Sus scrofa: one gene and its partner. The protein of the gene in region 1 purifies or fractionates together with the protein of each later gene. This does not show direct contact. Links are inferred from orthologs where the notes say so. Each region holds a gene or a part of one and is shown on either strand. Other genes may lie near its edges.

The links.
Region 2: the proteins of SMARCA1 (region 1) and POLE3 purify together in Homo sapiens (affinity purification with mass spectrometry; 3 studies listed by BioGRID and IntAct, with this or other methods). This does not show direct contact. The link is inferred for Sus scrofa from reciprocal best matches to the Homo sapiens genes SMARCA1 and POLE3.

Annotation. Positions count from the first base shown.
Region 1 is NC_010461.5:106,108,923-106,120,127, reverse strand, and holds the start of SMARCA1 (probable global transcription activator SNF2L1), read left to right. Parts: upstream 1-4,201; 5' UTR 4,202-4,407; coding exon 4,408-4,590; intron 4,591-10,263; coding exon 10,264-10,350; intron 10,351-11,205.
Region 2 is NC_010443.5:254,030,826-254,042,068, reverse strand, and holds POLE3 (DNA polymerase epsilon subunit 3), read left to right. Parts: upstream 1-5,844; 5' UTR 5,845-6,164; coding exon 6,165-6,230; intron 6,231-6,330; coding exon 6,331-6,416; intron 6,417-6,775; coding exon 6,776-6,894; intron 6,895-7,164; coding exon 7,165-7,337; 3' UTR 7,338-8,691; downstream 8,692-11,243. UniProt on the Homo sapiens protein: Accessory component of the DNA polymerase epsilon complex. Participates in DNA repair and in chromosomal DNA replication.

The DNA of each region.
Region 1 (11,205 bases):
CCACAGGTCACAGCAACCCCGGATCCTTAGCCCACTGAGCAAGGTCAGGGATTGAACCTGCGTCCTCATGGTTCCTAGTCAGATTCGTTAACCGCTGAGCCATGACGGGAACTCCAACAGCACAGTAATTTATATTTCTTCCGCTGCATTCCACATTAAATAACTGCATTGTTTCTTCAGTATGAAATTGTTCTTTTCCCTTTTTTGACTCACCCTGTCTACTAGCTCTTTTTCCTTCTGTTAGAGATTATTTCTACTTGTTCAGTTTTGAGCAATATTTTTTGATTCATCTGCAAAGATCTTATATTTTCTGTATTTTTATTGACGTATAGTTGATTTACAATATTGTGTTCAAGTGTACAGCAAAGTGATTCAGTTATATGTATATATATATATATAGAAAATGTTATTTATTTATTATATAAATATGAACACCTTCATGGAGGAACATTAGAAGGAGTAGAAAGGCAAAAATAAGAAAAAAGTCACTCTTGATCTTACCACCTTGCTGTAAGTACTGTTAACATTTAGAGTGGAACCTTCCAGGCTTTTTCCTTTGTGGAAATCTATTTATGTAAATTATTTCTCTCTTTTAGCAAAAATGGGGTCACTCTGTTTTCTTGCTCGCCTTTTTTTCACTCAGCAATACATGAGAAGCATATTTCCATGTCATCAGATATTTACATAATCATTCATAATGACTGCTTCGTATCCCTTTTATGAATGTACTATACAATATTCTGCCACACACTTGTTAGGTTTTCCCCCTCCCTGAACTCTAACTGTCCTTAATCCTTTGCTGTTCCAAGAATTTACTTTGGGTGCATGCAAGAATCCCCTGTTATTCTCCAACTTCCACCTTACAACAACTTCTGTGTGGAGCTAAAGAAATTATCTGGCTGTATATAATACCAGAGCCTTAAGAGTGACAGTTTCTTCTAATAAACCCAGAGTGAACATCATGGAGACAATTGGCAGAAATATTTTTCAGTCGTTTTCTCAATATAATTTCTACTGTCAAGAAGGAATCCTTGTGAAGAACAGAGAACTTAATAAAGGTGAAGCGGAAAGATGACGTTTGGAGCCAGACAGTCTGGGATTTGAATCTGGCTTCTGTCACTCACGAGCTGTGGGACCTTAGATGAGTTATTTAGCCTCTCTAACTCTCTGTTTTCTGGTATGTAGAATAGGGATAATAATTTTAATTTCATCAAATTGCAATGTCATATGTAAAAACCTAGCACAGCTCCTGCTACAATAGTAGGTGCTCAAGAAATGGTAGATGTATACTGGCTGTTACCATTACCTTTTGCTTAATGTGCACCGAGGAAGTAGCTCATTTTTAAAAATGCCACTATCATAAGTGTCCTTAACAAGAATGGAGAGGGAGCTCATTGATATGAACAGGATGGTTACTAGAGCGGTAAGCAAGATACTGTCATCAGAATCCTTTGTACCAGCTTCTGAAGAACATTGATCCGCAGGATCACAATGTCATTTTTTGTCATACTGTGGCTTCAGGGATAAATTTCAGATATAGGATAAGAGAAGGAACACCAAGCCCTTGACCCTGCCTTCATGCACTTTGTAATTGTATTTGAAACCACCACTGGACACGCATTCTGGTAGCTACGAAACAAGTTTGACTATGTGAAAATGACGGCTGGGTAACTCCCACAGTGTTCACACTCTGCCCAAACAGATGCATTATTCCGTAGACAAGGATGTGTTCTGAGGTTTCCACATAGGGCCCCAAGGTTCTCTATAAAATTTTGCTTTGTTCTCCAATCTCAGTGGAGCAGAGCAATTCAAGACCGTTTCAAATGAAAAGACATAACAGGGGAAAGTAGCAGCAGACAGAGTAAGGTGTTGAGTAGCATCAGAAATGAGGATCAGAAATGACGTGACTCTTGTAGAACAAAGTCTACAGATCATGAATTTTAGGTAGATTTGCAAATAAGGATAGCACATGCTCTGTAAATAGCAGTTGTTGCCACAAGCCAAAGGGCAATATTTACATGAATCCCGTGGCAAGGTCTAGGGACCAAACATTGACCTTTCCAGCCAAACTTATACTTGGTAGCAATTTCAGCCCTGTCATTGTGAAAAGGAAGGATCACATTATACATACATGGAAAATTGCCAATGTCTCAATGCTTTTTGCCCCTTCCCCCATTTATTTCTAAATTCTCTTTTGGAACTTGGAACACAGGTTCCCACAGGAAAGGTGTTATGCAGGGATGTGAGTTTCCCAGATTCCTTCACAAAAGTGCATTTAGCCCACCATGTAGCTGAAATATCACACACTGGCAATGAGAAATACAATCAAATAAAGTACCCTTGCAAGCAGGAACACACACATCAATACACAACAAATATTTCTTGAGCCTTTCTCCTTTGAAGCTCCAAACAATGAAAGGTGGATTCTATCCTCCTATAGCTGCAGTTTGGCGATAAAGAACTCTTCCATTGCCTTTATCTGCAAGATTCCTTCTCAAGTCAGGTGGATGCATGCATTGCAGCATCCTTCTCTTCCAGTGAATTTTCCCACCAGACAAGGCTTAATGACTCAGGAGACTGACAAAACTTAGTGGCGAAGGGGTAGGATATCCAACTCAAGGTCTCCAGCTTTTATTTGGAGACACTTCACACTGCAGTTAAATACATCTGTACATTTTTTAAAAATCGTGTTTCGAATGACCTGTTACATGACTTTATTCCATCCCATTTTTGTTTTAAAGTTGATGCTTCAGAAATATGAACTATTTTTAATACTGAGACTCCACATACCCGCTGGAGAGTACATATGTGTACTCTAGGGTGAGAAACGTGGACACCGGGGGCAAAATCTAAAGTGAATGAGAACATAATGGATGTAAAATCAGGGCAAAGCTAAGCACCACACCAGCCTCTCCTTTCCTCTCAGTGGCACAATCCTTCAATCACCTGTGTCTTGCTCTTTGCATCTTTCCCTGTTCAAAACCAGTCCCTGAACAGGATCTCACACTCATTCACACTAAGGTGTAAATGGCCAATAACAGCTAAAATGTCACAAGGTTTTTGCATATTAAGGAATTACAGCTTTAAAACAAAAAAGAAATTTAGGGTATCCCAGGAAAAAGGGATGTATCTGGAGGACAAATGTGTGCCTTCCTGCTATTTGCAGAAATCACACTTGATTTCAGATTGGTAACTTAGGAAGGTGTGTTGAGGGAAATTAATCATGCTTTCTTCATACTTTGGAAAATAGATGCTTCATTTTCAGAATTGTAGGTTTTGTGATTGGTGTTCGGTATACTGGTTTTCTGTATGTTTTGCTACCTTTCGTCCCCAATGACTGAAATTTTAAGGCTGAGATGTAAATCTTCCTGTTATTGATCAAAATAAATGGTGGGGAGAAATGGAAACAATAATATTTAATAACTGACGTTTGCATACCCTTTACGAAATGCTCTTATATCCACGATTATGCATATTACTGGTGTTGAATTACTACTAAACAACGGGGTAGGAATAGAATACCAAAACAATCACAATAATTCAGTTCAACTGCTGATGTTGGGCACCTACCATGCGTTGCCCCAGGTTCTGTGGGGACATTGACCTTGCCCCCCAGAAGTTTTTAAAATTCATTGGTGAAGGCAAAAGATGGGCTCCTGCACATTGGCCATCCAAGAGGTTTCAGAACCGAAAATAGAGCGAATATACGTAAAAACCGAGTCACACTTTGCCTTGTAAGTGAATGTTTGCAGCTGCAATCAAGAGATTCAAGGAATGCTTCTCCTGCAGAATTTACAAAGGTGGGAAGGGCACCACCAGTCCCCCTTTGGGGATCTGGGAAAGGACAGTCCCCAGAGGGGATCTGGGCTTTGCAAATGGTGAGACAGACCTTCTACAGTACAGTTATAAGCAGAGGAAAAGTTCTTTGTGCAAGAAGGGGAGAGCGCCCCGAGGTACAAAGAGCAGATTTAAGGGGAAGAGGATTCCTTCTGCACACATCTGCGAGGGGAGCTCGGGCTGACTGTTGGGGGCGTGTGGGGAAGGAGATTTTTTAGGGGGCCGCGGGCTGTGGGTTCCCGCCTCCACCCCAGTCCGCGCCCCACGCTCAGGCAACAGTTGGTCGTGCGGGGACGGCCTGGGCTCCGGGTGGGGAGGGGGAGTCTCGCGATCGTTGAGGGGGGGTGGAGGAAGGGGGGAGGGTGACGGGGGGAGGCCATGACGTAGGGTGGGTGGACGGAAGTGGGGCAGGGTTGAGGGTTATTTAAAGAAGGGGGGGCCGAGCGAAGGGGTTGGAAGCGAGTGATTCCCCACCCCTGCTCCATCTAGCTCTTTCCAGTGCAGCCACTGCCGCCGCCCAGGAGCCCTCGTCCCCTCGCTCGTTCCCCTCTTCGTTCCCGCTCCAACGCCATGGAGCCGGACACCGCCGCAGTGGCAGCCACCGTGGCAGCCTCTGATGCGACCGCCACGATCGTGGTCATAGAGGACGAGCAGCCGGGGCCGTCCATCTCCAAGGAGGAGGGAGCCGCCGCCGCGGCCACCGCGTCCACCGAAGCCACCGTGGCCACGGAGAAGGGCGAGAAGAAGAAGGAGGTAAATAGGAAGGGGGTGTGTGTGCGGTGGACAAATCCTGCGCCGGGCCCCTCGGAGGGGCCCAAACGCTGACCTTTGGGCGCCGACAGGTACCCGCGGAGCTCCGCAGGGTTGGGGGCGGCGGGCGCGCGGGGTGGGGGCGGCAGAACAGTCTAGCATTCGCTCCCCTCCCCCTTCGCTTCTCGCCGCCTGGAGGGCGGGGGCGGGGCTGGGGCGCGGGCGCGGCGCGGGGCGGCGGGTGCCCGTTATCTCGGGGCTTGGGGGCTGGGGAGCCCTCGACAGCCCCCGGCCCCTTTGGCGTTCCCGGAACTGGGGTAACGAGGTGGGGGATGGGGCCGTGGAGGAAAAAGCCTCCGCCTCCCCCTCTCCTCTCGCTCGCTCCCTCTCCCCCCCCCTTCCCGTCGGCCTCTGCCTGGGAAATCTGGGCCCTTCAATCCCACACTCAGGCAAAAGGGGTTTACTGGGGGTTTATTTTTTAAAATTTGAATTTCCAGGTGCCGGTGGTTGGGAGGAGGAGGACGATAGGAGAGACGTTTGTTTCTTTGATTGGCAATGTCGGCCTTTGGGGTGGCAGGGAGAAAAAAAATCCCTTGTTCGTTTGGTCCCCGCCTGCTGAAGCGGGGGTGTCACCCCGAGAAAACGAGCTCTCAGCGTCGTACCACCGCCCCCCCCCAATCCAGATCCCAAACTGAGGAACCCTGGACGCTGGCTTAGGAAAATTTCCAACGTGTGCACCCTCACCCTCTCCTGCCCCGCCCCCGACGGTATAGTGTTTCACTCCAGGGCCACCCAAATGGTCCCCCAATCCGGCCCCAAGCCTTCCAGGCTTCCGCCTCCTTTTCCTAGTGGGCGCTGCTGGCTCCTGGACACACGCAGGTTTTTTTTTTTTTTTTAATTTTGTTTTTTTAAACCCAGCGTCGCCAGGATGAATTGCTGCTAATGTACATAAGGGGACCGCTGTGACACCTATTAAAGCCAGATCCAAAAAAATACGTATTATCTCCATAAGGCGTATTTCATACGGACTGAGACGTGCAAGTAGAACTATGAAAGGCTATTGAAATATTGGAATAAAAAATTAGGTTGAGGCATAAGGATTTTGATGTATAGTAAAATTGTGGAATGGATCGTTTATGGCTGGATTTTTTTTCCGTTTACGAGTAGACATATCGCAATTAAAAAAACGGTAGGTAATTAAAATTATGCTTTAGCGATCTCAAGTGGCTTTGTTTGAATCATTATATGATGCTCTACGACCAAATGAAAAGCTTTTGAGGGAAATTAACACCTTTGGCCGTGAATTAGAGTAATTTTAAATTCAGCAGTTGCTTAAAAGTGACGTATTTTACTGTTACAAGGTTGACTAAACAGAAAGACAATTGTAGCGCTAAGTGAAAACCATAGAAAACATACGCATTTTAAGATCTGTGTGGTACTTGGATCAGTAAGACAATATCGATGATTAAAGCTGGGCCAAATACCAAGCATCGATGATATAAATCAATGTTGGGAAATTCAGGAATGTGTCTGGATACCTTTTCTTCCCTAGACTGGGCGAATGTAAGTGCTTGGCCGTCTTTTGTATGGCAGTAAATGTTGTCGAATTTCCAGGGTATATGAATTTTTGGAATTGTGAAGAGACTGGTAATCAATAAAAAACGTGTATAATCACTGAGTTGATGCATATATATTCGTGAACTCTGTGGCCTTATCAGAAATTGCACTAGTAGCACCTCATTTGTTGGCTCGGCATAGAGAAATGAGGTGCCACCTGGCAGGAACTTTCTGGATATCTGAATCTTATTACTTTAGTCACTACGTCTTTTTTATTTTGAATTTTTCCTTAAAAATCTGAATTGAACCACAACATCTACCTAAGTGCTTTTATTTGTTCTATTCCTTCAAATAAGGTAATTTTGTCTCTCCCCCAATATGAATATCATTTTTAATAGCATTTTTTATTCTTCAATTACATTTATAGTTGTACAATGACCATTACAACCAAATTTATAGCATTTCCATCCCAAACCCCCAGTGCATCCCCCCACTCCAGATCTAAATATCTGCACACTACCTTGATTCCTTAAATGGTGTCCTAAATGTACAGATTAACCTTTTCCTCGTGTCTCCCAGTTATTGTACTCTGACACCCATACAAAGGCATTTGAGATTTAGGAGGTTGTTTCCCCTCCAATAAACACCTTCCAGACACTTCCAATATTGCGTTGATTTTTTTTCAAAAATGTTCAGTCTCCTCCCTCAATTGTCAGGCTGTTAACTATCACTTTTTAAACACTTCATCTACTTTCATTAGAAAGAATTGGCTTATGATAAAGGACATAAGTGAAACAAAACCTTTCATTTAAAACAATGGTAAAAATACGGAGTTCCCGTCGTGGCTCAGTGGTTAACGAACCCCACTAGTATCCATGAGGACGCTGGTTCGGTCCGTGGCCTCACTCAGTGAGCTGTGGTGTAGGTCGCAGACGTGGCTCAGATCCCACGTTGCTGTGGCTGTGGCTGTGGCTTAGGCTGGCGGCTACAGCTCTGATTTGACCTCTAGCCTGGGAACCTCCACATGCAGCTGGTGCAGCCCTAAAAGACAAAAAATAAAATAAAATAAAATAAAACAATGGTAAAAATACAAGCCATCTAGCCAGGAGAGGGAAATAATTATTCCTGAACACCAAGGAGATGGGATGTTAATGCATTGGAACTTAAGGTTTGGTTCTGGGCTTTCATGCCATCCCTTCTTGCTGTTGACAGTGTGTCTTCTTCTAGTGGTCTTCCCCACGTCATTTGCTACTGCTTTCATTCTCTGTAGAATGGGAAGCCATATTATCAAACTTGTTGGACTTGTACATCAAATAAAAGGAGACAGGCTCTGAGTGAGAGCATTTTCCTAATGCATAAAGTACATGAGACGGGTAGTGGATTGCCTTGTGATGTTCAGCCCCAGAATGGTATTTTTGCTTTTAGCTCCTGGTTCTTGAACTTCCTTGGTTTAAGTGACAGTTGGATAACCTAACACTGTGAAAATTGGAGTTGGTATTTTTGGTAATGAAAATGTCAGGAAGAAGATCATGGTCTTTAAGACAGGGCATCTTGGTGACCTTGTGCTGCCTTCTTATGGCATCTAGACCACCAGATGATAAGATCCATAAAGAAATCATTAGAATATCATGGTCATCTTTTAGCTTTTCTTGTATGAGAGGTGTATTTGTGAAAACATATACATAGACAAATGGAAAGTTTTAGAAGGTAGGTATTCTAAAATCGTTGTGGAAGATAGTGCCAATTGAGTAATTACCTACATCTTTTTAATGGCAGTGCTCAAGATTAGGATTTTAATTAGCATATGATTAAAATCTTATGGTATTCTACCGCAAGGTAAGCAAAACACTGAGCAGAATGTTTTTCTAATATTAAAACTTGAATTTTCTATAAGTGAAATTTACATCCCACATTATTAGATGTGTGCTTGTGTATATGAGGGGACGTAATTTTGAAACTTGAAAACTAGACCTCATTTAGCTTTTCAAGGAATGATAAAGGTATGGATTTTGCTACCCAATTTTCCGTACTTGTTGCTTTGAAAATAATATAGGATTTATAGTATATATGACAGTTTGAAAGTGTGGTATTGAGGGGATTTTAGTAGTTTCTGTTCTCATCCATCCAAAATTATATTCAAAACATCTCACATAGATGATATATGCATATGAAATACTGTAAATCAAGACGGCTGTTACTTGGATTAAGAATAGTGGAACAGTTGTTGGTAGTGGACAAATAACATATCCTGGGCAGGTGAACTCAACCTGGTAGATAAAAGTTTGCTTTGGTCACAGTTGCCTATAAGTATGGGTTTCAAAATGAGCATAAAAAAGCAAAAAACAGAATAAAGGAGTTCCTGTCTTGGCTCAGCGGAAGCAAATCTGACTAGCATCCATGAGGATGCAGGTTCGATCCCCGGCCTTGCTCAGTGGGTTAAGGATCCGGCATTGCCATGAGTTGTGGTGTAGTTCAGCAACTACAGCTCTGATTCAACCCCTAACCAGGAACCTCCATATGCTGCAGGTGCAGCCCTAAAAACACAGGGGGGAAAGAAAAAGCATAAAGCCTTAACTTTAGAATTTCATTATGTTTTAGAATCATCACTGCCTTAATGTTCAAACACCTATTAACTTCTCCTAGTAAAGGACAAATACATGTTTATTTATGGATTTTTGTAAATATATATGCAATGAACTATGGCTTTAAAAATTCTTTTGTGCATTTCTGTGGCAGTGTTTGTTAATCCACCCAATACAGTTATTCACAGAAAAATGACGCATGTAATAGTCCTTCACATACAAGAAAGAAATGTTTTCCCTCAAAACTTTAATTACCTGAATTGTTCTAAGGTTATTTGTAAAGCTGAAACTCAGTGATGAAAGAGAAGTGAGAATTCCGAAAACAACAACAACAACAGAACAAGAATCACTGAATAATATCTGATCAGTGCTCCAAAGGAGAACCCTGACCCCGGTCAAATTCCATAATCTTAGTTTGGATTTCCTCAAAGTAGAAATTTTAGTAAATGTTGAAAAACATTCATTAACTACTGGACCCATGTTTTTCTTATGTTTAAGATCACGTTCTTCCGTTGATTTATGACCTAACCTTTCAGGAACAGGGTGTCAAAAGCCATGATCAAATGGACATAATTTCTTTGGTTTTCACAAACAGATTTGTATTTTGACTTCTGCAAAGTCTGTGTTAAAACTGAAATACCCTTGGCTTTGTTACTAATGGGTAGATTTATGTTTTTATTATTTTATTTCTTGATTTCTTACAGGGAAGGAGGTGTATTCTATGTACATATCTATTATATTTACAAGTTTGTCTTTATAAAGGATAGGATGCATGAGATAACCCCCTAGATAATTTTAGTGTAACCGATTTATGTCAATTTTCATGAAATTACAACTTTTTTAAAATATCAAAGGTTAGCAATTAATAGCCCCGAGAAACTGCTTCTACAAAATATTTATGTATATGGTTTTTAAACTATTTTCTTTCCAGTTGGAGAAAATTAACATAAACCAAAAGTTTGAAGCTGTACTATTTTATTATTTTAAATATAAATGATCACATTTAATTACATAAAAAGTTTAAATGTTCTAATTAGAATATAAAACAAAATTTAAAAAATCATGTCTTTTCAAGAACAGAAGCCACAGTCTTTTCTTCTGAAAATTTGGCTTGTTTCCATTACATATAAAGAGGTGTTTCTGAGAATTAATATTTACTTTCCTTGAATACTCTGGTTTGTGGTTGATAATATTCTAGATTTTAAATCTCCTATTCAGTGGTTATATACTTTCTTACACTTTAATTAGAAAATAGGCGAAGAGGCTCATTTTTCCACCTTTTGGTTTTTATTTTAATTAATGTTATTTCTCTGGCTTGTACAGTTCTTCAGTTTTTTTTTTTTTATTTTTTTTATTGGACCTCAGGTGCACAGAGCTGGATTAATCATAAGCCCTGTTCATGACATGCTCTCATCATTGGTTCATGCATGGCTCATGTTGATTTATTTATTTAGTATTTAATTACTTTTTACTTTCTTCAAATGAGAATGTTGACCTTGCTTTGCAATTCGATGATTTATTTTCTTTGAAATTCTAGAAAAACGCTTCTCCATTTCAACTCAAACTTGCTGCTAAAGCTTCTAAATCTGAAAAGGAAATGGATCCAGAATATGAAGAGAAAATGGTAAATATGTTCTTGGGTAGGATGAATACAGTAGTTGATTTTTATACAGGAGATATGAAAGATTAAAATACATCTTATATATAACAAGCACAGAATCATAGGTTTTAGAATTGGAAAGTAGTTTGATATATAATCCACCATAATAGGTTTTTCTTGGATAAATGTATCTCCTTATTTTCAGATGAAACATAATACGGTAATATGTTTTCTTGAGGGAGGGATATTTGCCCAGTGTGTGAAAATATTACACACTTAAGCACTATAACCTTACTTATGCCCACCTACAGCTTTGCTATACATGTAATTTTTAAATTTTTAGTCGCTAGACCCCACATTTTAGCTTTAATTTTAACTAGACTTTTATGTTCTGGGATCTTTCAAAACCAGTGAACTTGATTAGCTCAAAAGAGAAAATAACAGGTAGTTGGAACTGAATTTTTATGTTGAGGGGTTGTTTTTGAAATAATATTACTAAAATAGGCAGAGATGAAGTACACTTTTTGGTTGTTCATAGCGATTTTGAAAAACCCCATGCCTTAATGTTTAAGGCCACATCTAACGTAGATAGTTAATGTTTTAACAACTCTTAAAAACAACATTCCAGTGAGGATAACATAAAATGGAAAGGTTTTGGCCTCCTTCCAGGTACTGGTATGAATGTATTTGTCTAATTCTTGTATTTATGTTAATGAATTCTTGTAAGTTTCCGATGTTATTAATTATGCATCCTTCATTGGTGATCAAATATTCTCTACCCTGTGGTCAGAAAGTGACTGGGAATTTAAAAAATCACCTTTGTTTTTTTCTTTATCCAGAATGATCTATACATCTTTTTATCTTTTAAGGTTTTTTTAG
Region 2 (11,243 bases), on another chromosome or scaffold:
TGGCTACAGCTCTGATTAGACCCCTAGCCTGGGAAACTCCGTATGCCGCAGAAGTGGCCCAAGAAATGGCGAAAAGACAAAAAAAAAGAAAAAACAAAAAGTTTGCCTTTGATGCAGATGTTCAAAAACATGTTAAATAAACAAAACGTGGCAGAGACCTATAATGGAGTATTTTCCAGCCTTAAAAAGGGATGAAATTCTGATACATGCCATAACATGAGTGAACACTGAAAACATTACGTGAGGAGAAAAAAGCTAGACACAAAAGGACCAACATTGTATGATTCCACTTATATGATATACCTAAAATAGGCAAATGAGGCAAATTCAGACAAAAACAATAGAACAGAGATTACCAGGGACCAGAGGGAGAAGGGAATGGGGAGTTATTGTTTAATGGGCACAGGATTTCTGTTTCAGATGATGAAAAAGTTCTAGAAATGGATAGTGGCGATGGTTGCACAATGCTGTGAATGTACTTAATGCTACTGAACTATATACTTAAAAATGGTTAAAATGATAAATTTTCTGTTATATATACTTACCACAATAAAAGTGTCAATCTCTTACATTTTCATATGACTTGCTATTTTATTTTTTTAAAAAAATAGGTTAAATGTATAAACGAATGAATATTGCAAAGAGGTGTAAGACAAAGACCCAACTCCTTGGCCTGATTTATGAAGTCATCTGTGATACAGGCCCCTGCTTTTCACTCCAGCCCCCCAGCCTCACCTCTGACCATTCCTGTTCTATGTTCTAGACACAATATCTAAAGAATCTCCTCTTGCCTCTAGGCCTTTGCATGTGCTGTTTCTGTAGTCTAGAACTCTCTTCCTGTCTTCCCACCCGCAAGCCCTACGTGACTAGAATGTTCAATTTCAGGTCTAGACACAGATGCCACCTGTACAGAAGACAGTGCCCTGGCCTAGGAGCCCTTCCTGTGTGCTTCCACAGACCAAGGGAGCACTCCTCTCGCCACACACATCACCCTAAATGGTTATTTGTTTTCCTGAAAGCCCCTTGAAGGTAAAGACTGTATCTTTTTTACCACTGTATTCCCAGCATGCAGCAAAGTGGCCCCAACTAAAATATACTTGCAAATTCAGTGAACGACTAAACGAAATGTCACATTCTGCCTTGACAGGCCCTGACTGCAAGAAGCCACTATTTTTTCAGGATTCAAATCCCAGAAAACCAGAAAGTGGTCCTACCATTTCCTATTCCACCTTTAGCCTAACAAATCATCAAGGGCTACTTAAATCAAACAGGAGACAAGAAACCACTGTAATGGTCCCCACTAGCACTTTGATTCCAGGCAACAGGGTCTTTGAATTTTAAGTCTAAGTTTTCCATAGACACCTGTCCCTTAGCTTCCAAATCAGTAAGCAGTAACTGGATGCGTAGACTCTAGAGGCAATTCGGGAAACCATCGCTTCTACCTTTGAGAGCTTACAAATGATTTCACACCTAAAAATTAAAGGTAAGAAATGCAGCATAGGAATTCCCACTGTGGCTCAGAGGGTTACGAACCCAGCTAGCATCCATGAGGATGCAGGTTCAATCGCTGGCCTTGCTCAGTGGGTTAAGGATCCAGCATTGCCGTGAACTGTGGTGTAGGCCGGCACCTGTAGCTCCAATAGACACCTAGCCTAGGAACTTCCATATGCTGCAGGTGTGGCCCTAAAAAAAAAACATACAAACAAACAAGCAAAAAAAGAAATGCAGGAGTTCCCGTCTTGGTACAGAGGAAACAAATCCAACTGGGAAGCATGAGGTTGCTGGTTGGATCCCTGGTCTCGCTCAGTGGATTAAGGATCTGGCATCGCCATGAGCTGTGGTGTAGGTTGCAGACACAGCTCAAATCCTGCATTGCTGTTGCTGTGGCTGTGCTGTAGGCCAGCAGCTGTAGCTCCAATTTGACCCCCAGCCTGGGAACCTCCATGTGCCTCGGGTACAGCCCTGAAAAACAAAACAACAACAACAAAAAGAAATGCAGCATATATGGACAGTTTTCTAAAGATCTACAGAAGCTGGTGAGACACTCTCTGTTATGGGCTGAATTGGGTTCCCCAAAATTCTTATGTTGAAGTCCTAACTCCCTCTTAACTCTGAATTTGTATTTGGAGATAGGGTCTTCAAGGAGACAATGAGGGTAAAATGAGGTCACATAGGTGGGCTCTAGTCCAATATGACTTGTGTGCTTGCAAGAAGAAGACATTCAGACACGGATACACACAAAGGGACGACAGTGTTAAGACACAGGGAGAAGAGGGCCACTAAGAAGGCAAGGAGAGAGGGCTCAGAAGAAAACACCTCTGCCAACACCTTAATTGGACTTCTAGCTTCTAGAACTGGGAGAAAATTAATTTGTTGTTAAGGCACACAGTCTATAACAACTCTAGTACTTTGTTATGGTGACCCTAGAAAACTGAAACACCTCCCCCATTTTCACCAACTCCTACACTGCAAATAAGGCTTCTTTGTTTCCCACTGCCTATTCATCACTCCTTTAACTGAACTGATGTCACGCTTAATCTAGCTTTCCCAAAGTCTACTATATGGGCAAAGGATGTCAATCAGGAATTTTGAGGTAGTAAGCCCTTTAAAGAAGATTCCATGATAGTTTACCTGCCTTGAAATTTCAAGTCAAACTTTGAACCTTGGGACAATAAAGGACGCGCCTTGGTGAACGCAAATTTTGACAAATGACGGTGAGCAAGCCTCTTGGCCTCGAAGCAGGAATCGGTGAGGTTTACAACAGTGAGCATTGGGAGTCTTTCTGAAAGACCAGAGTAGAAGAAAACACACAACATATCAAAAGGGAGCCAAAAAGAAATAATCCGAGGATCTTGTAAAGAAGGAGACAGGGCTGGCTAATTCACCTTCAACATTCAGAGGTGGTTTGCAGGAGGAGCTTAGAATTCGAGGGTGGCCCCTCTCAATCCGGCGGATAGCTGCCCAGCATTGCGGATGCTGACAAACAGCCAGGTGACACGTAGTTTCATCCCACTGGCTTTCATCTGGCAAGTTCATAGCCACAAATGGTTTAGGACAAAAGCCAATCTTGCAGCTTTCCAGCCCCCTGGAGAAACAACCACCAGATAATTAGGGAGTATTATATATCAGTCATGCAGACCAAATATTTAGACTCAAAACATAAAATATTTCCTCTGAACCATATAGATAAATGGTAGCCAAAGGATAGTTAGGAAGTGGATAATAAGCAAGTATGAAAAAAATCTCAGCATGGATTAGCAGAGTGACAAGAGTTTGGGTGCAGACTGACTTCAGAAGGTCTCCTAATTGGCCATTGAATTAGCAGCTGAGTGACCTGAGATTTAACCAATCTGAGCTTCGATTTCCTCATCTGCAAAATGAGGATAAGCCCATTTCACAGGGTCATCACAAAAATTAGTTAATGTATATCAAAAGGTCTGGCATCCTTTCCTTTTTCCCATCATTAATCATTAAGAAGAAGATGCCACCCTCTCCAAAAAGCTTTATCAAATTACAACTAAGGTACATGAGACTTGATCATCCACGGTTTTTGATACACACAGGGGCTCCTGAAACGGATCATCTGCAGATAACGAGAGACGGCTGAGTCACAGAAGTGTATTAGATGGCTCAAACCTTCGGAAGATACACTTTATTTTTCAGTATGCTCCAGTTTTCATACAGGTAGCTAAAACACCCAGCAGAAAGGAATGGGTCTGCTTCAACAGCAAATCAATCAACCCACAGGTGAATCAGAGGCCACTGGCTTTTCATTGACTAGTTGTATGGTCTTGGGCAAGTGACAAGTGACTTCACCTTCCTTAGCCTGTTTTCTCATATAAAGTAGGGGAGGGGATATCCCTAAGTAGGACTGTGGAAACATTAAATGAGATAATGTACTTTTACGTATGATATACAGCAGGTGGTCAATAAATGTTACCATCTTTCTCTCTTTAGAAATGTTTAGACAATCTGGAGTTCCCATCATGGCACAGTGGAAACGAATCCGACTAGGAACCATGAGGCTGCAGGTTCGATCTCTGGGTTAAGGATCTGCATTGCCGTGAGCTGTGGTGTAGGGCAGCAGCTACAGCTCTGACTGGACCCCTAGCCTGGGAATCTCCATATGCCTCTGGTGTCATCCTAAAAAAAAAAGAAAGGAGTTCCCGTCGTGGCGCAGTGGTTAACGAATCCGACTAGGAACCATGAGGTTGCGGGTTCGGTCCCTGCCCTTGCTCAGTGGGTTAACGATCCGGCGTTGCCGTGAGCTGTGGTGTAGGTTGCAGACTCGGCTCGGATCCTGCGTTGCTGTGGCTCTGGCGTAGGCCGGTGGCTACAGCTCCGATTCAACCCCTAGCCTGGGAACCTCCATATGCCGCGGGAGCGGCCCAAGAAATAGCAACAACAACAACAACAAAAAGACAAAAGACAAAAAAAAAAAAAAAAGAAATGTTTAGACAATCACTACCACCTATCTGCAATAAACTTTTAAGTGTCTATTTCCTCTTTCTTTTACTCAACACATTTATTGACCACCAAATATGGGAAGGGACCTGTTATGGGCATAGAGAACAATAATGACCAAAAAAAGTCCCAGTTCTAAAGAGTTTATAATATAAGCCAAAGATAGCAAACTACTGGCCTGGGATTGCACCTGGCATATAACTTGTTTTGTATGGCCTGCACTTTGAGCCATTATTTAAAGATGGAAATAGCCCATAATGTTCAGATTTCTGGGTTCTCTCAAAGGGGGGTCCAATTCCAACTAGACAGCCACTGGCTGGAGCTGTGTACCTCCTGACATCTTTAAACCATGTGTATTCTAGTCAAGTGGAGCCCTCCCCCACCAAACCCCATATTCTCTAAGAGAAGAGTTTCAGTTGCCATTTATCACTGCATTTGCTGTTGTTTTTCTCATAATAGGGAAATAGTTCTCTGTACTCATGTTTCTATCAAAAACAGGAAAACTAAGCATGACCTGAGGCAGCAGGTTTCAAGGAAAACAACTGTTCAGTGGGAGTGAGGAGAGTTTCTACTACGTAATATGAAAATGATACAACTTAAAAAGCCAATGCAGTATTTCTCTTGTGGCGCAGAGTGTTAAGGGTACCTCCCACCTGAGTCACTGCTGTGGTGCAGGTTCCATCCCTGGCCTGAGAACTTCCATATGCAGTGGTCGCCCCACCGCTCCCTCGGGGGGGGGGGGGGGGACCATTGTAAAACCATGCTGATGCTTTTGACTAGGAAAGATGAACGATGATCAAGTCAATGAACTAAAACATAAATACAAGTTTAACAGGGTTTGTTTTTGAATGCGAATGTTATTCTTAAAACCGGCTGCTTATGGACCTTTTGTTACCTGACCAGCTCGAAGTGAACCCCAAGGTCTAATCATGCCCATCTTTTTGTTGCCAGCCCTACACTGTACTGACAAAGTAGTCTGCATTAAAAATTTTAGGTTAACACTTATCCTTAATACCATTATTACAAAGTTGAGAGCGGTGAAAAGATTTAAGAGGGGATATCAGGGCCTGGAGAGTTCAATAAAGATTCCCTGCTTCCAGAAGAGGGAAGTGGGAGAATCCGGCCAAGGAGGGCCGCGCTTCCGCGGAGCCAAAGCAGAGGCCAAGCGGCTAGGAAGCCGAAGCCTACAAGGAAGACGCTGCTCCTCAACCCGCGGTGAAGACAGCAGCGGGGCCAAGCGCCAGGTCCCGCCTCTCTTCCGAAGGGACCCGCCCCGCCGGCTCAGTCCACGCCTTCGTCTCCCAAGCCAGCCTCCGACAGCACCGTTGCCAGGCAGCGGCGCAGAGCACTATGGGAAAGGGACGGAAGCCCCAGAAGGCCATACTTAATTTGCTAAGCAAGTTCCAGACGAGGTGGTGGCGTGAAGCAGGGAAGCGAGCTTGGGAAGGGGCGCCAGGTGCCGTTGTGGCCTGATAGAAACCCCTAGGGCTAAAACTAGCGGCGTGGAAAGTTCAGATGAACAGACGACTGCAGTCGGAGGCGGGGCTGGGGGAGGAGGGAGGATATGGCGCGCGGGGCACTGTGGGACACGGTGTGGGCAAAACGGGGCGGAACGGAAGCCTCGTTGGGTCAGACGGTGGCGACGCGGGAAGTCCGGACGCTGTAGCGGCCTGAAGAGGAGGCCGGCTCCGGCCGTGGCAATGGCGGAGAGGCCCGAGGACCTAAACCTGCCCAATGCCGTCATCACCAGGATCATCAAGGAGGCGGTGAGCATCTCCGGCTGGCGGATGGGCCAGGGGCGGACGAGCAGGCAAGGGTAAAGAGGTCCTGGGGCAGTAGCTTTGCTCACCCCCTCTCTTGTCACAGCTCCCGGAAGGTGTCAACATCTCCAAGGAGGCCCGGAGCGCCATCTCCCGCGCCGCCAGCGTCTTCGTGTTGTACGCCACATCCTGGTGAGGCGGGCAGAGCTAACCAGAGCTTAGCTGGGGGCTGAGGCTTAAGGGAGACGCAGACACCCCCCCCACCCCTGGTTCGGAGTTCGCGGCCTAGAACCCGCAAACCCCAATAATTATGATCTTCCCCAGTGGAGGGAGGTTCAGAGTCTTCATCCAGGTATTGCAAGCTGTGGAACAAAATAAAACAGAGTAACTTTGCCTTACCCTTTTGTACAGGGAAGGGAGGGACTTACTGTGTCACCAAAATCCATGTATCTTAGACTTGGGCATTTCCATTCCACCTCTGGGTCGTCCTTTTCCCACTCACTGCATACGGGCCAAGAAGGATTCTGACAGCCCTTAATCTTCTTGTTCAGCGCCAACAACTTCGCGATGAAAGGGAAACGCAAGACGCTGAATGCCAGCGATGTTCTCTCAGCCATGGAGGAGATGGAGTTTCAGCGGTTCGTTACTCCCTTAAAAGAAGCTCTGGAAGGTAACGACCTCTTCGTTTACTCAACCAAGTAGATGTTCATCCTGTATGACCTGCTCACTTGGCCCTAAGTCTTCATTAGCTTGAGTCCCTTTAGGTCCAGTAAGCAAGTATTGGGTGAGATTCAAATGGCACTACCTCATATCAGTTTTGTGATGCTGGGCAGGTTATTTTTCCTTCTGTGCCTCAGTGTTTCCAGTTATGCAGTGGTATTAGTGGCTGCAGTCTGTTTGGTTCAGCCTTGTCTCCCAACTCCCTCCTTCATCCTTACAGCTTATAGAAGGGAGCAGAAAGGTAAGAAGGAAGCTTCAGAGCAAAAGAAGAAGGACAAAGACAAAAAAACAGATTCAGAAGAGCAAGACAAGAGCAGGGATGAGGACAACGACGAAGATGAGGAAAGGCTGGAGGAAGAAGAACAGAATGAAGAGGAGGACGTGGACAACTGAAGAGGATGGGGAGACTGGCGCCTTGGAAGGTACAGCTCTGAAACGTTTGTGTGCAGCTTTTTCCTGCTGGACAGAGTAGTCTTGGGCAGAAGAGCCTGAGAAGATGGAAGTAAAAACTGATTAAAATTATCATCAAAACCAGCGTGTCCCAGATTCAGAGCATCTGAGTAGCAGAATCTTGTTTTGCTTCATGAGCCTGAAGGTTATGACTTTTTGGCAGGAGGGATTATGAACAGCCAATTGGTCACTGGGAGCATTTTTGTTTACTTACGTACATAGTTAGGCAGTTGTTGATCCCCAGGTCCCACCCATTCACCCACGGCTCAAAAAAGTAACAAAGCTTCCATGCCACCTACTGCGTTCCAAATCACAGAAGCAGTCAAGACTCAGGAAAACCTGGGGCTTTGCTTATAGACAGCCTATTTGTACAGTATTTGGCAATACTAGCTTCTTACAAGTGATCAGAATGACTTAGCTTTAGGAAACCACTAAAGGGTGTAGAACAGTGAAATCTGTTCTTTTGTCTCTTCACTTGACAGTAACATTAACTGAATTTTGGTTTTTACAGACCCACTTGGCTTAGAGCCCTTCTCTATTGCCAGTAGGCATGTAACCCGCTTGGGTGGCTACCTTCTGGGCACCAAATGCATTTACATCAGCAGTGTAGAGTAGAATTAGTCAAGCAAGATTGCCAATGTGTCTTACAACAGATGGTGTAGTCTTGAATGCACCTCACTGCCTGCCATTGTACAGCTTTAGGGTATGTGGTCACCTCCTGGAAGGTATAAAACTCCAGGCTTTCTCTTGTAGTCCCGCTCCCGGATTTGTGGTATGGCTTTTCATTCTTCTAATTCCTGATGAATTCCAAACTTTCTTTCTTCTAGGTACAACGTTCTTGCTCTGTGCTTCTCTCCTGTCTCTGTTCTGCCTCTCCTCTGCTCCCCATTCCCACTTTCTGTCCCTCCTTTTTTCACTTCTGCCAGGAACTTTGATGACCTGCTTAATATCTCAAACTATGGGTTCCTCTGATTCCCTAGTTCTAATCTCATGTCTTTTAAAAATGATTTTGTAGACCTCTCTGAACGTTAAGGGAAATCCGATGGTGCTCAGGAATCCAATTCCTCCCCCAAGCCATCCCTTCTAAAGTATCTCTGTTAACCTTATTTTCTTTCCATTTGGCGCTTCAAGCACTTTTTGTCTCTAAGTTGAGTGCTTGGAGGTTGACAGGTAGTGAAATATAGTTTGATGCTGTTCATTTGTTAAACGAATCCAGTGAAAAGTTTGTCAAGAAATGAGTGAAGGATATTGAGAAAATTATAATGCCTTGTATAAATAAAAAACATTCTTGTAAAAAGTGACGTCTCCTATTTCATCCTACTTGTTTATAAGTGTGCTTTTGGGGAGGACCCACTGATCATGCGCTGCAGTTTTTAGAGTGTAGACGAGGACAGACCCTTATAAATATGAGGTCCTGGAGTTCCCGTTGTGGTTCAGTGGTTAACCATGAGGTTGCAGGTTCAATCCCTGGTGTCGATCAGTGGGTTAAGGATCCAGCATTGCCGTGAGTTATGGTGTAGGTTGAAGACACGGCTCGGATCCCTTGTTACTGTGGCTCTGGCACAGGCCAGCAGCTACAGCTCTGATTTAGACCCCTAGCCTGGGAACCCCCATGTGCCATGCATGCAGCCCTAGAAAAGACAGAAAAGACCAAAAAAAAAAAGAGGTCCTGCATCATTGGATGACTGACCAGCAGATGCTGCTTGTTAACAGGCAAGGGTGCTGCTCTTCAGTCGCAGTGAGAGCTTTCTTTGGCCTTGCTAAGAATTCATACATACCCGATATTCAACAACTCCAAACACGGAGTCCCTTCTCTGTGTCTGACTCTGTACTAAGTGCTTTCAAATATTAACACTTAAACCCTATGAAAGAACATTGAGTTTATCTCCATGATTTCAACTAGAACTAGATAATGTAGTCATTGTCTCTAACCTACATAGCTCTTTCAAATCATGTTTCACAGATCGACAACCCCAACTGTCAGATCCAGTGGCTTTTTCCTCCACAGCAGAAATATCTTTTTGTTTGTTTCCTCTCATATTTGTATGAAAGATAAAGTTACTCATTATATTTGTTTTGCATTTCTCCGTTGAAATTTATATTGATGATTCTTTTTTTTATTTTTATATTGATACTTCTTTTCTTTTTGGCCATGCCTGTGGCATACGGAAGTTGCTAGGCTAGGTGAAAGTTCCCAGGCCAGGGATCAAACCTGCACCACAGAAGCAACCCAAGCTAATGCAGTGATAATGCCAGCCGGATCCTTAATCCAATGCACCACAACAGAATTCCTAAATTGATGGTATTTATTTTTTTCTTTCTTTTCTTTTTTTTTTTTTTTTTTTTTTTTTTTTGGTTTTTCTAGGGCCACACCCAAAGCATATGGAGGTTCCCAGGCTAGGGGTCAAATCAGCCGTAGCTGCTGGCCTACACCACAGCCACAGCAACGCCAGATCCTTAACCCACATCCTCATGGATACTGACTGGATTCACTTCAGCTGAGCCAGGATGGGAACTCCCTGGTGATATTTCTATAGCAGTTACAATGTCACAGTATAATGCCTCTGAGAAAGTAGCATACACTGAGTCCTACATAGCTGGTTATTTTAGTGACATGATTATTCTTTTCAGTGGACTTCAGTTTTTTCATCTCTAAATGGGCAGTATTAATACCTACCTTGAAAGGAGAGGGGGTTTTGTTTGTTTGCTTGTTTGCTTTTTAGGGCCTCACCTGCTGCATATGGAGGTTCCCAGGCCAGGGGTCTAATTGGAGCTACAGCTGCCAGCTTACATCACAGCCACAGCAATACCAGATCTGAGCCACATCTGCAACCTACACCACAGCTCACAGCAACGCCAGATCCTAAATCCACTGAGTAAGGCCAGGGATCAAACCCATGTCCTCAAGGATACTAGTCGGGTCCATTAACCACTGAGCCACGAAGGGGACTCCTGAAAGGATAATTTTAAAGGTAACAAAATCATCGATAACAACATTTTTTTAAAAAGATAAAATTTGGGGAGATCCCATTGCAGCTCAGAGGTTAATAACCTGTCTAGCATCCATGAAGACGTGGGTTCAATCCCTGGCTTCATTCAATGGGTTAAAGATCCGGCATTGCCTGCGGCATAGGTTGGCTGCAGCTCCAATTTGACCCCTAGCCCGGGAACTTCCATGTGCTGCAGTATGGCTATAAAAAGAGAAAAAAAGATAACTTTCAGCACTGTACCATGCATATAGCGAGGCCTTGTTTTTTACCCCACTTTCTGTACACATTTTTATTTCCCTTCGTATTAATAGAATGGCTTCAGAATTGGAAGATCATTTTTATAAGAAGCATTGAGAAAGAATCAATCTAACTGATATTCACCTCTAAGATAATTAATTTGTTCTCTCTCATAAGAGTAGCCTAAGAAGAATGTAAAGTCTGGAAATTATTATACACACGAAACACTTGTACTCTGATGAAACTGAAGACTAACCTCTGTGGCTTCTAGTAGACATCACAGGCACTGCCATCAAGTATATAATTGCCTTTGAAGCAGAAGAACATCATTTAAGGGATACTGAAATAGTTCAAATGTAATCCCAGTTTGTTCATCTTATATGAATATATTCCTTTCTAATTGTGTAACTTTTAAATTTTATTTAATACTGATTATAACAGGTTTCATGTGTACAACATTATATTTCTACTGCTGTATACCCTACAACATGCTACTCACCAGAAATGTATTTTCCATCCTTTACCATACTGTTCATTCCCTTTACCCATTTTTCCCTTCCCCTCTGGTAACTACTGCTCTGTTCTCTGTAGGTTTGGTTTGATTTGTTTGATTAGTTTGGTT